Linked DNA regions of Bombyx mori. The protein of the gene in region 3 purifies or fractionates together with the protein of the main gene of each other region. This does not show direct contact. Links are inferred from orthologs where the notes say so. Each region holds a gene or a part of one and is shown on either strand. Other genes may lie near its edges.

The links.
Region 1: the proteins of exosome complex exonuclease RRP44 (region 3) and exosome complex component RRP4 purify together in Drosophila melanogaster (affinity purification with western blotting; 3 studies listed by BioGRID, with this or other methods). This does not show direct contact. The link is inferred for Bombyx mori from reciprocal best matches to the Drosophila melanogaster genes Dis3 and Rrp4.
Region 2: the proteins of exosome complex exonuclease RRP44 (region 3) and exosome complex component CSL4 purify together in Drosophila melanogaster (affinity purification with western blotting; 3 studies listed by BioGRID, with this or other methods). This does not show direct contact. The link is inferred for Bombyx mori from reciprocal best matches to the Drosophila melanogaster genes Dis3 and Csl4.

What each region holds. Positions count from the first base shown.
Region 1 is NC_085121.1:5,598,815-5,602,854, reverse strand, and holds exosome complex component RRP4, read right to left. Parts: upstream 2,498-4,040; 5' UTR 2,362-2,497; coding exon 2,237-2,361; intron 2,164-2,236; coding exon 1,926-2,163; intron 1,845-1,925; coding exon 1,710-1,844; intron 1,116-1,709; coding exon 930-1,115; intron 726-929; coding exon 510-725; 3' UTR 509-509; downstream 1-508. Other genes in the region: mediator of RNA polymerase II transcription subunit 18, read left to right, coding at 3,652-3,744.
Region 2 is NC_085132.1:3,512,629-3,516,440, forward strand, and holds exosome complex component CSL4, read left to right. Parts: upstream 1-1,474; 5' UTR 1,475-1,835; coding exon 1,836-2,006; intron 2,007-2,402; coding exon 2,403-2,651; intron 2,652-2,977; coding exon 2,978-3,223; 3' UTR 3,224-3,238; downstream 3,239-3,812.
Region 3 is NC_085115.1:11,139,580-11,142,855, reverse strand, and holds part of exosome complex exonuclease RRP44, read right to left. Parts: intron 2,523-3,276; coding exon 2,302-2,522; intron 1,159-2,301; coding exon 990-1,158; intron 1-989.

The DNA.
Region 1 (4,040 bases), on a different chromosome or scaffold from region 3:
CCTTAACATATAAGTTCTAAGGTCTCAGTATGGTTACGACTGCCCCACCCTTCAAACCGGAGCGCATTACTGCTTCACGGCAGAAACAGGCAGGGTGGTGGTACCTACCCATGCGGACTCACAAGAGGTCTTACCACCAGTAATTACGCAAATTATAATTTTGCGGGTTTCATTTTTATTACATGATATTATTCCTTCACCGTGGAAGTCAATCGTGAATATTTGTTAAGTACGTATTTCATTACAAAAATTGGTACCCGCCTGCGGGATTCCAACATCGTTGCATCGCTAGATACGAATGCACCGAACGTCTTATCCTTTAGGCCACGACGATTTCGAAACTCAACCATCCATACAAAACGTAAGCGCAATTGTACACAGATTTACATAGAACGATCAGTTCGCCCTATCCATAGTGAATTGCAATTTACAGAAAACTTTGTGGTATTGAAAAAGCTGTATTTCCTTTATTATTAATATTTTCTAGCTATAATTAAAACACAATAAAGTCACTCTTCTGCAATAATATTTATTCTATGCTGAGTTAAAAATGCTACGTCAAGCATAGCTTCAGGATCCAAGAGTTCCTTTACATTGTCGTATTTGAGACTTTCTTCGAATGCAAACATTATGCTAGTATCATCTAACATCATCTTAGATGCCACAAGTGCCAAAATACAATTTTTCACTCGCGCCATCGTTTCTCTTTCTGATTTCCCAACAGGCTGCAATAAAAATGATATCAGCATCATATTAGCATATGCAACAATTTCATGAGGGCATGAGAACATGCATGAGTTCTATTTTCTTAAAACATGGAAAAACACAAAGTTTAGTGAAAATGATATAATAAATCTTTAACTTGTGTTTATCGTTTATCTTTCTTAACTCCTATTCCCGAACACTGCACACTGATAGCATTAACCCACCTGAATTTCATAATTTTCAATTGCATCCTTATTTCCTTCCATAAGAATATCACTTTTGTGTGGACTAATCCATATATATCCATTATTCCCTATTATGACAGATACTGCACATGGTAAGTTGTGAAAATGATTTTTTCTGCGCTTTATCAATGACGGGAATACTTTTATTAAAGTTCCCTGTGAAAGCTGCAAAAAATAAAGTTTTCGAACAAACTCTTAAATTAATTTTTTTTTAGTATTAGCAAGGAGTAGAAAGTTCAACATTTTGTGATATTAATTATTATTAGAGGACTGTATGAATGATTCTATTTTAAGGTATGAAGGGCTATTTGGTTTAGAGGAAAGTCATGTAATTTAAAAATTGAAAAAAAAACATGACAAAACTTCTCCAGCTATTTCAATGGAGAATACTTAATTGGTGTTCAATTAAAAACAATTAATTGTATAAACTAATACCAAATAAAATTTACCTTTAATTACACAGATAGATGCCATGTAGTAAGCGAAGTGTCACTTAAAACAAATAGCCTTACGCCCCTTGATTTTATTTATTTAAACATATAGGTAGTGAATTAAAGCAGATTTAAGTGTTTGTGTAGACTTGTAATCAATTTGCTAATGAAGCATGTTTAATCTACTCAGAAGGATAAATATCATCTTCACTTTGGAGGATTTCAAAATTTAATGTTGCTACATATTTGAATATTTTTAATTTCCTTATAACATTCTTGTTGAACTTTAGAATAGTCATTTTTTATTGGCTTCATAAAATCTGATTACCTTGCCATATTTCAAACTTCTTGTATGCAATGAGAGCGAACCATCAGAAAATACATTCTGTACTTCAGCGCTTATCAAATCACCTTCCTGTAAATGTTTTCTCATCATCTGCTCATCCTCTTCTGAACGCCTTCTCTGGATTTAAAAAAATATATAAATAGTTATCATTAGATACAAGAAGATTGCTTTATATTATGGAAGTGTGCGTTAATTTACCAATTCTCCGCCAGGTAGATTTACTGAAGAAAGTTGAAGTATTGAATCAAGTCGTGAATTGGTATCAACTTTCCATCTTTTCTGTTGAACTTCCAATACTCTTCCGACTACCACATCGCCTATTTCTCCAACGTAACGACTCTTCAATGGGCGAATGCATATAAGTTTATTTACTTTTTGCATAACCCCAGCAACAGATGCTTTTAGGCAATCATCTTCTGCGTAAGTTCCGTGGCCTCTTAAAGTGCAAAATTATTAAATTTATAGTAATAATAATTCTTAACAATATTGTTTTCGCAAAAAATACCGACCTCATAAAATCTTGTATCCCAGTTATGACTTCGCCAGGAGTGTAAAAACGCGGCGGGTCATTATTTGAGGCAACCGAATGATTTACTCTTTCAGATGCGAGTTTTATAGATACATGACTGACCATTTCTAATGTTTTTTTAAGCTCCCTCTTTGCTAATTGTGAATTGTGTACAACGAACTCATAGACCTATAGTCGGATTTTTTATTAGACGAAGTCAACTGACGTTTACTGTGTTGTCAGGTTTTGATGAAATAAAAATAGTGTTGTGACAAAGTGAACGATTGAAAAAACTCCTGAATTAATGAAATTGCCTCGATTGTCTAGTGAATAGTTAGTGTGCCGAATTGCCGATATCGGGTACGGGGTTCGAATTTTAGGCGTGCTTTGTACAACCAATGAGTTTTCGACGAAATATTATGTTCCTATAGTATCTACCTGCACTGAATACCGAGTGTTTTAAACATTAAGAAAAACATTGCGAGGAAGCTTGTAAGACTGTCCTATTTCCAATACATCATATAGTTGAAATTATAGATGTATAAAATATAACAATTATAGGTATGTAATGAAAATAAAAAAAAGTAATTGTAGTTACATACTACTAGTAACATATATTGGAGCACTTTAATACAATTTTATTGTAAAATATAAATAATATTCTTTTATAGTTTGAAATTAATGATTAACTCTTCACACTCATTGTTCATTCATGTGATTGAACGAGAACTGAACAGATGATAAGGGATGAAATACAATCTCACTAAAATGACGGTTATTTACTGAGATTTTGGCCTTTTTGGACGATCCCGAGAAGTTACGTCCAGCGGCTTGGTTTCATTTTCCCACATTGGTGCACTTTCATAGATATTGAACAGTTAATAAACAACCGTTATTACAGGTTTAAACCTGAAGACACACTAAATAGACAAAATAAAACAAATCACACAATTTCACTCCTCGCATGTAGAATCATTGGTGACAAAAAATGTTTAAAAACAAATACGGCCGTACCAATATGATAATATGATGCGATACCATTGCCTCTCTCTCCTGTATTTGAAAAAGGAAATTACAAAATGTCACCTAAATGAGGCTAAATGTCAACATTGTTAGTAACTGTCAAGCTAACAGCGATTGCAAACATATCTCTACCTTGTTAAATTCCAATATGAGTATTTAGATTATGTTAATTAGAAATTAGAATTTATTTTCTCCTTTAAAATTGCCTAGTTTTTTATTTTACGCAATATTTATAGTTTCGGTTATATGGACTATTTAGACTGAATGCACCTCTATGAGACAGAAAAGTCGTTTATAAGTGTAATGATTTCTTGGCTCACACATAGTTCTTCAAAACTTAAATCTTTAAATAGCTGCTATTGAAGTAGGTTTTCAGATTTTCAGCTCCATAAAATGTCGGCAAACGCTGCACCTATAACAGCTACAGATAGCTTATCGCAAGCTTTAAAAGCGAACATTATACCAAATCAGGAATACTTACTTCAGGTACTACAGGATGTTGAAGTGGCTCAGCTATTTTAAATTTCAGAATAATTACAATATAGTCTACATTCTTCTACAGTTTCCATAAATTGCATACTTAACAGAACTAATTACCATAGTTGCAGCTATTGTATCCAATTCTTTTGACCCATTTGATCTGTTTACATACTACATTCAAAATATTATCAGAACCCATACATACATAGCTTACATATAATAGCAGCCCAAAAAAACATGAGATAAGGTCTTAGTTACAATGCCTACAATGCTGTTCTTAATAAATAAAAATAATTCATTTA
Region 2 (3,812 bases), on a different chromosome or scaffold from region 3:
TTTGAGATATAAGTTCTAAGGTCTCAAGTATAGTTACAACGGCTGCCCCACCCTTCAATCCGAAACGCATTACTGCTTCACGGCAGAACTAATGCTGGTACCTACCCGCGCGGACTCACAAGAGACCCTACCACCAGTAATTACGCAAATTATAATTTTGCGGGTTTGATTTTTATTACACGATGTTATACCTCCACCTTGGGAGTCAATCGTGAACATTTGTTGAGTACGTATTTCATTAGTAAAATTGGTACCCGCCTGGGATTCGAAACACCGGTGCATCGCTCAACACGAATGCACCGGATGTCTTATCCTATAAGCCAAGACGATGTTAGCTGTGAGTGTTTTGAGTTAATAATATAAATAAGGTTCAAAAATCATTTATTTCAACTTAGATGTCAGTATAACATAGATTTTCACGAACCATATCGTAGCACTAACAATAATCAGTAATTAATTATGTAGATAAAATATATTATTATGGCTAGTAAGATTTTACGAAAATAAGTGAGAATATTTTGCATCATCCAAGTCGATTATGATATTTTAGTAGATGAAATAATAGAGGAAAAACAAATACTGGTGGTAGTGGTGGTGGTACCCTCTTCCTTACTAACGTTTTTTCCGTGGTAGGGAGACGAGCACACGTTCCACCTGGTAAGTAGTCAAAGTAGTAAAGTGGAAAGCCAGCAACGCCATTGCTTACTGCAACAATATTTTTTAATTATTTAGACGAGTGAGAGACGAGACAAAGTCCAGGCCCATCTGGTATTAAGTGGTCACTAGAGCCCATAGACATTTTTTGATTCAATTTTTCCTTATTAGGAAAGGCAAGGGGATCTAAACCCATACAGCCTTGTGTGTTGTATATAATTTCTAAAATGAATTTTCAAAAAAGCCGAAGCCAGGTCTTATATGATTTATATTATATCCTGAAATAAAAAAATCATTAAGGCAGAAGCCAAGTCCTTTATAATTTCTTTCTGAAATAAAACCCAGAGACATCGTAACCTTAATGCCACTATCGATCCCTAGATATGAGTTTTAAGTCTCAGTATTAAAGTACAACAGCTGCCCCATCCTTCATACAGAAATGCATTACTGCTTCGTGACAGAATAATTGAATAGGCAGAGTACTGGTATTTGCTTGTGCTGGCTCACACCACCAATGAATGATCTACAGTAAATCCACATTAGTTCCAGTAGTACCAGTCGACAACGCAAATATTTTTATTATTCTTGGTTTACAAGGTCCTCGCACCTAAGGGGCACGTGGAGAAAAGCTTACCTGAGATCAAAATGTAAATAGCCCAACGTGGGTCTCGAATGACGACTCTGAGATTATGAGTCTCATGCTCTGACTGAGTTATCCGGGATTTTACAAAGGGAATGTCACATCTCAACAATTTAAATAAAAATTGATTTCGTTGCGTTGTACGTTTCATGGAAGAAATGTCACCCTCTATTACGAAATGATTAAGCTCTATAAACTTTGTTTCTTTTACTTAATTAATCAAAGAACGAACAAAAAAACATTTGCACTTTTGTATAATCTATGATTTCACTACGCGATTAAAAAAAAGATCATAACCATAGATTATACACCTAATTTATTTGAGAATCTTATCTTCGCTAGAAGTAATAGTGTTCTGTGATCTTAACTTATGTACATAACAAATAACAAACTGTAACTGGAATTAATAAACAACACAGTTCAACACACTATTATAAGACAGTTTACAATTAAAGACACGTTTTAGCTGTGACGAAAATAATCTAACCGAACTTTAAGTTGTAGTTCAAGTTAAATTGTAAATTCTAACCTCTACTACATTATGAATTTGGAAGAAAAAATAAAAGAAATAGGTTCAATATGTATTCCTGGAATGCGACTGAGTTTATCAAACAAAGACAACGTATCAGGGCCGGGAACCTATGAATTGAAAGGATATATTTATGCGGCTTTAGCTGGAATCTTGAAAACAGAAGAGGATGAAAACACCAAAGTAAATAACGTTACAGTCTTTGTATAAGCTGCCACTGATTGCTAAAACGATTTTATTGCAACCGTCATCCGTGCCTCTTTAATTGTGACTTAAAATGCCCATAAATATGCTCTGCAAAACACTACATTACCATGGACGAAGATAGGTACTGTAGCTTAACAGGTATATCATATGGAATTTACTGCCTGTAGAAGACACTTATGGACACTCGGTTTTATGGTCTTTAGTTTAGGCTTGCTCACTATTTCAAGCAGACGCTTCTTTTAGCAGCAGAATATTTTTTTATGCAATAGCAGATGAAATTCTAAATTCACCCCAGAATTCTATTTCAACAAAATAGAAAATGAAACAAATGAAAAAACCTATAAATTAAACTAATGATTGAAAATTTTTTAGGCTAATATAATTTCAGTAGAAAGTTCAAGAACACCAAGTGTTTTACCCAACACAGGTGACATAGTAACCGCAAAAGTAACAGTTGTAAATCCAAGAACTGTACAATGCCTAATCCTCTGTGTTGGCCCTTCAGTACTTGTTAGAATGTACAAAGGAATATTAAAAAAAGAAGATATAAAGGCAACAGAGAAAGACAGAGTTGATCCATATAAATGTTTTAGACCTGGAGATATTATACTAGCTAGAGTTGTATCCTTTACAATATTATAAACTTGTTAGTATTCAAAAAACCTTTTCACTTTTAATAATGACTTACTCTTTGTTTGTATTTGACTCATTAGATGGGTCTTTACATTATGTACTAACCTTATAGTTTGCCTACCACATGAAACACTTGAGCATTGTGGGATTTTGGAGTCACATTTGCTTAGAAATTATGATTATACTGCAAAATAGAATGCAGTTTTGGTTTTGTATAACATCAAACTCTATGTCTACTCAAGCTTGAAAAATACATCTATTATATTCACTGAATATTAAATAATATATAATCATTTTCCTAAACTGGAATTCAGTTACCAATGACGGAAATCCACTGGTACCAATTATCGACTGCAGAAAATGAACTGGGAGTTGTTATCGCTACAGCTGAAGGATCACCGCAAGGGGTCAGCATGGTACCAATAAGCTGGTCAGAGATGCAGTGCCCTAAAACTCTAGTCAAAGAACCAAGGAAAGTTGCTAGAGTTATACCGGAAAATATTAATCAATCACTCTTTCCAGTTCATTCAAAGCAAGACAATCATCACACTGATAAATAATTTTTATTTCAATTACAGACATGTTTTATTTTATTAAATTTTAGGCAAACAATGTATTCATAAAAAATTATATTAACTCTAATCTATTTCTGAAACTTGGAATGTTGATTATGAGAGTAAAACTATTACCAAAGTCAAGGGTTAAAAATTTTTGCTGACTGTTGAATACTCGCAAACTCTGGGTATTAATTTGGCTGTAACCAAGCACATTGGTTTTAGTCTAAGGTAGTACCCCTGAACACCAGCTGTACCGCTTCGGCGGCCTTGTTAACATATTCGTTTTTCTGGGTTACTCCCACGGACTGCATTCTTCAAGCAGCAACAAAACATAATAACTAAAAGTTTAAGTGTACTTTTTTCACCTTGAAGGATTGACATCATGTAATAAAAATCAAACCTGTAAAAATTTTAATTTCCATAATAATTGGTTTTCATTTCCATTGGCTTATTTTTTCCTGAAGCGTTAGGTAATGAGTTACAGTTGTACAGACTGTAAGGACACATGTCTTAAGAAAGGACGGCAGTTGATAATATCTGTAGTAGTGGTGGGCAAATATTTTTAATGGCGGGCCACAAAGTTTAAGAAATT
Region 3 (3,276 bases):
GGACAATTATACGTTGTATGCTCTCGAGTGGGTAAATCATCAAGTTTGTTTGTATTAGCTAAAGACGGGCTAACAAAAAATATTGTTCACGCTGCAGTATTAAGAGATTAATATTATGTAATAAATTAATTATATATATATATAATTATTACTTTTAATAAATTAAAACAATTAATGTTCGGTGTTTTGTTATTTTTAAACAACATTCCCTCATCGTTCACAGCGCTCCAGGCCTTTTTCACTCATATTGCACATCCTTATACACTTCCAATAAGTTAGTAATTTTTTTTCTACACTAGAAATTCTCTAGAAATCTTATATATGGCAAGACAACGTTTGCCGGGTCAGCTAGTATTAGTATATAATAATGAACACGGAATCTTAAAGGAAATTACTAAATTCTGATTCCTTATGTTTATTTTTAATTAAAAAAGCTTACCTATATAAACTACTAGGTTTACTACTAACGTCTTAAGTGATTGTTTCTAGAATCATCTGTAGATGCGTTGTTCAGCAATAACTTTGTATACTTGCCGACACGTAAGTTGGCAAGGTTTTGGCTTAGTGAGGGTTAGGTCGCGCATAGTGCACTTAATTCAACAAAAAACTGTCACACGCAAGTGTAATCGGGAGCGAACGGAACGTAGACGCGGTGCGGGAGTGGAGGGTCGTCTGACTCACCAATCGCGCGCTCGGAACGGTACTACGACATTCCCCGCGTCCCGCTTGACAACCAAAGAGATCTAAAAAACGACTTGTATGCATCTAACTACTCTTCCCAAGTTACGTGCCGGGGACTGTATACGCGGCCTGAATTATCGTATTGTTCGATAGTGAATCAGTATCGTATCGTGACTTTGTATTCGCGGCCTGAATTATCGTATTGTTCGACAGTGAATCAGTATCGTATCGTGACTTTGTATTCGCGGCCTGAATTATCGTATTGTTCGATAGTGAATCGGTATCGTGGTTGGCGTGAGTGTACGCACGTGAGTGTTGAGCGCCACGGAGGCGCGGCCGGCGAGCTGCGCGTGGCGGTGCCGGTAGTTGAGTGTGTCGGCGAGCGCGGCCTGGCGGCGCGCGTCCAGCAGCGCGGCGTGCGGGCCCGCCCCCGCCACGCTCGCCGCCAGCAGCCGGTGCACCACCACGTCCGCGTACCTGCACACCGCGCCCGGACAGAATACTTAACCATACACATTTTTATCAACTTATGCGGCCCACAAACGACCCTAAAATCAGTGGCGATATTGGGACAGCGATGGTGGGGATAATCGTCCCTAAATCTTGAGCTCGCCCGAAGCGACATTAGAGTTTAGGGTAAACAATACAAATCGAATTACAATTTGCCTATACCTCCTCGCGTGGTTTTCCTGAGGGTCCTGAGGTTTCCTGATTACTGAGGGTCGTGATTCCCCCGCTGCATCAATTTCTCCCGTACGATTTTCCTCTATCTGCCGCGATCCTTAGCTTCATGAAGGGCGCATTGTAGAAGTTGATGTTTAGAGAAGATCATATTTGGTCCGACCATCTCGTGGGACTGCGTCCTCTGGGACGTTTGCCATCTACCTTTCCTGTCACCATCTGCTATTCTAGATTGTGACCCTCTTTACGAGCAATATGTCCGAAGAAATCCAACACCGTACGAAAGCATATAGTGGAAAGTCTACTTTTGATATGAAGCTCTCTCAGAATAGACATGTTGGTGCGAAAGGCGAATGTGCGTATGCCACACGAGGTGATTTAGGGTACGATTTAGGGTCCTCCCCACCACGGTTGAAGTTGTCGTTGCCATGTAGGTCACCGGTGCCCTAAGCGGTGCACTGAAGTAATAATGTCGATTTCTGTCACTAAAGCACCTGAATTACCTAACTTAGCTTTTATTTGTCTCTTAATTTACGTTTTAGTCTTATATGTCTGTTAGAAATCGATACATTCTCAGTATTGTTCGGGTTCGTCTTTCTCAGGTTCTATTAGATATTCCGGCGCCTTAATAAGAAAATCGAAGAGAGAAATCGACATTTTACTGGTGGCAGGACCTCTTGTGAGTCCGCGCGGGTAGGTCCCTATTTCTGCCGTGAAGCAGCAATGCGTTTCGGTTTGAAGGGTGGGCCAGCCGCTATAACTATACTTGAGGCCTTAGAACTTATATCTCAAGGTGGGTGGCGCATTGACGCCGTAACACTAGGTGGGCTGTGAGCTCGTCCGCTCATGAAAGCAATAAAAAAAAACTTCAGTGCGCCGCGTAGGGCACCGGTGACCTACACGGCAGTCTACGTGTTAAAGGCAAGAGCCGCTACGTACCTCCGTATGGGCGAGGTGAAGTGCGTGTAGATGGGACAGGCCAGTCCGTAGTGGTAGTAGTGGTCGGCGGCGAGGCTCCCGCTCACGAAGTACGCGGCCTGCTGCATGCAGCGCGTCGCCATTATGCGCAGCAGCGTGTTGAAGAACGGCCGCTCCGGTATCACGGCCTCGTTCAGCGATTTCGAAAACGATTTGTTCGTTGACACGTCGATTTCGAAGCCCTGAAAAGTTTGCAGTTTTTAATTAAGCCGCGTTCAAACTACGCTATAATAAATAAAAAACTAAAAAATAGAATATAAATTTCAATAAATTTGAATTAAAAATAGTGCAAAAAAAAATGATTTTATTGTAAAAAAAAAGCGTGAAGTGCTTTTTAGGATATTATCAAAATAACCCTTCTACTAATATCTGTTCATAAAATATTTATAACTACTGATACCATGCACCCCACGCTTTTTTACAATAAAACTCATTTTTTCTTACATTATTTTTAATTCAAATTTATTAAAGTTTATTTTCCTATTTTTTAGTGGGATTTTCTATAAAAGCGTATTTTGTTAATATAGTTTTTTTAAACTATTATTTATTTTTCAGTTTTTAGTTGAATTTAAAAATTTTCAATTTTTTTTTATTTTGTATTGTCATCGGCCCTTAATAGTATATCAAATTTCAAGTTAATCCGACGTTTTGAAGGGGATCAAAATCATGTTCAAAGATTCCGTTACAAACATACATACGTCTGAAGCTAATAAAAAGCGTATTAAAAAGCATATAGTATATATGTAGTTCATAGCAGAACAATATCGCACACCATATATTGTTATGGACAAGTAAAGGCTGCTGTACTATATGGTACTATAAGTATAGCGTAGTCTGAAAGCAGCTATAGTCGTACAGCGTTTTGTGGTGGGTACCACCGCATTGCTAACCTTTGATGAAGCAGTAATACGTTGCGATTTGAACGGTAAGACAATT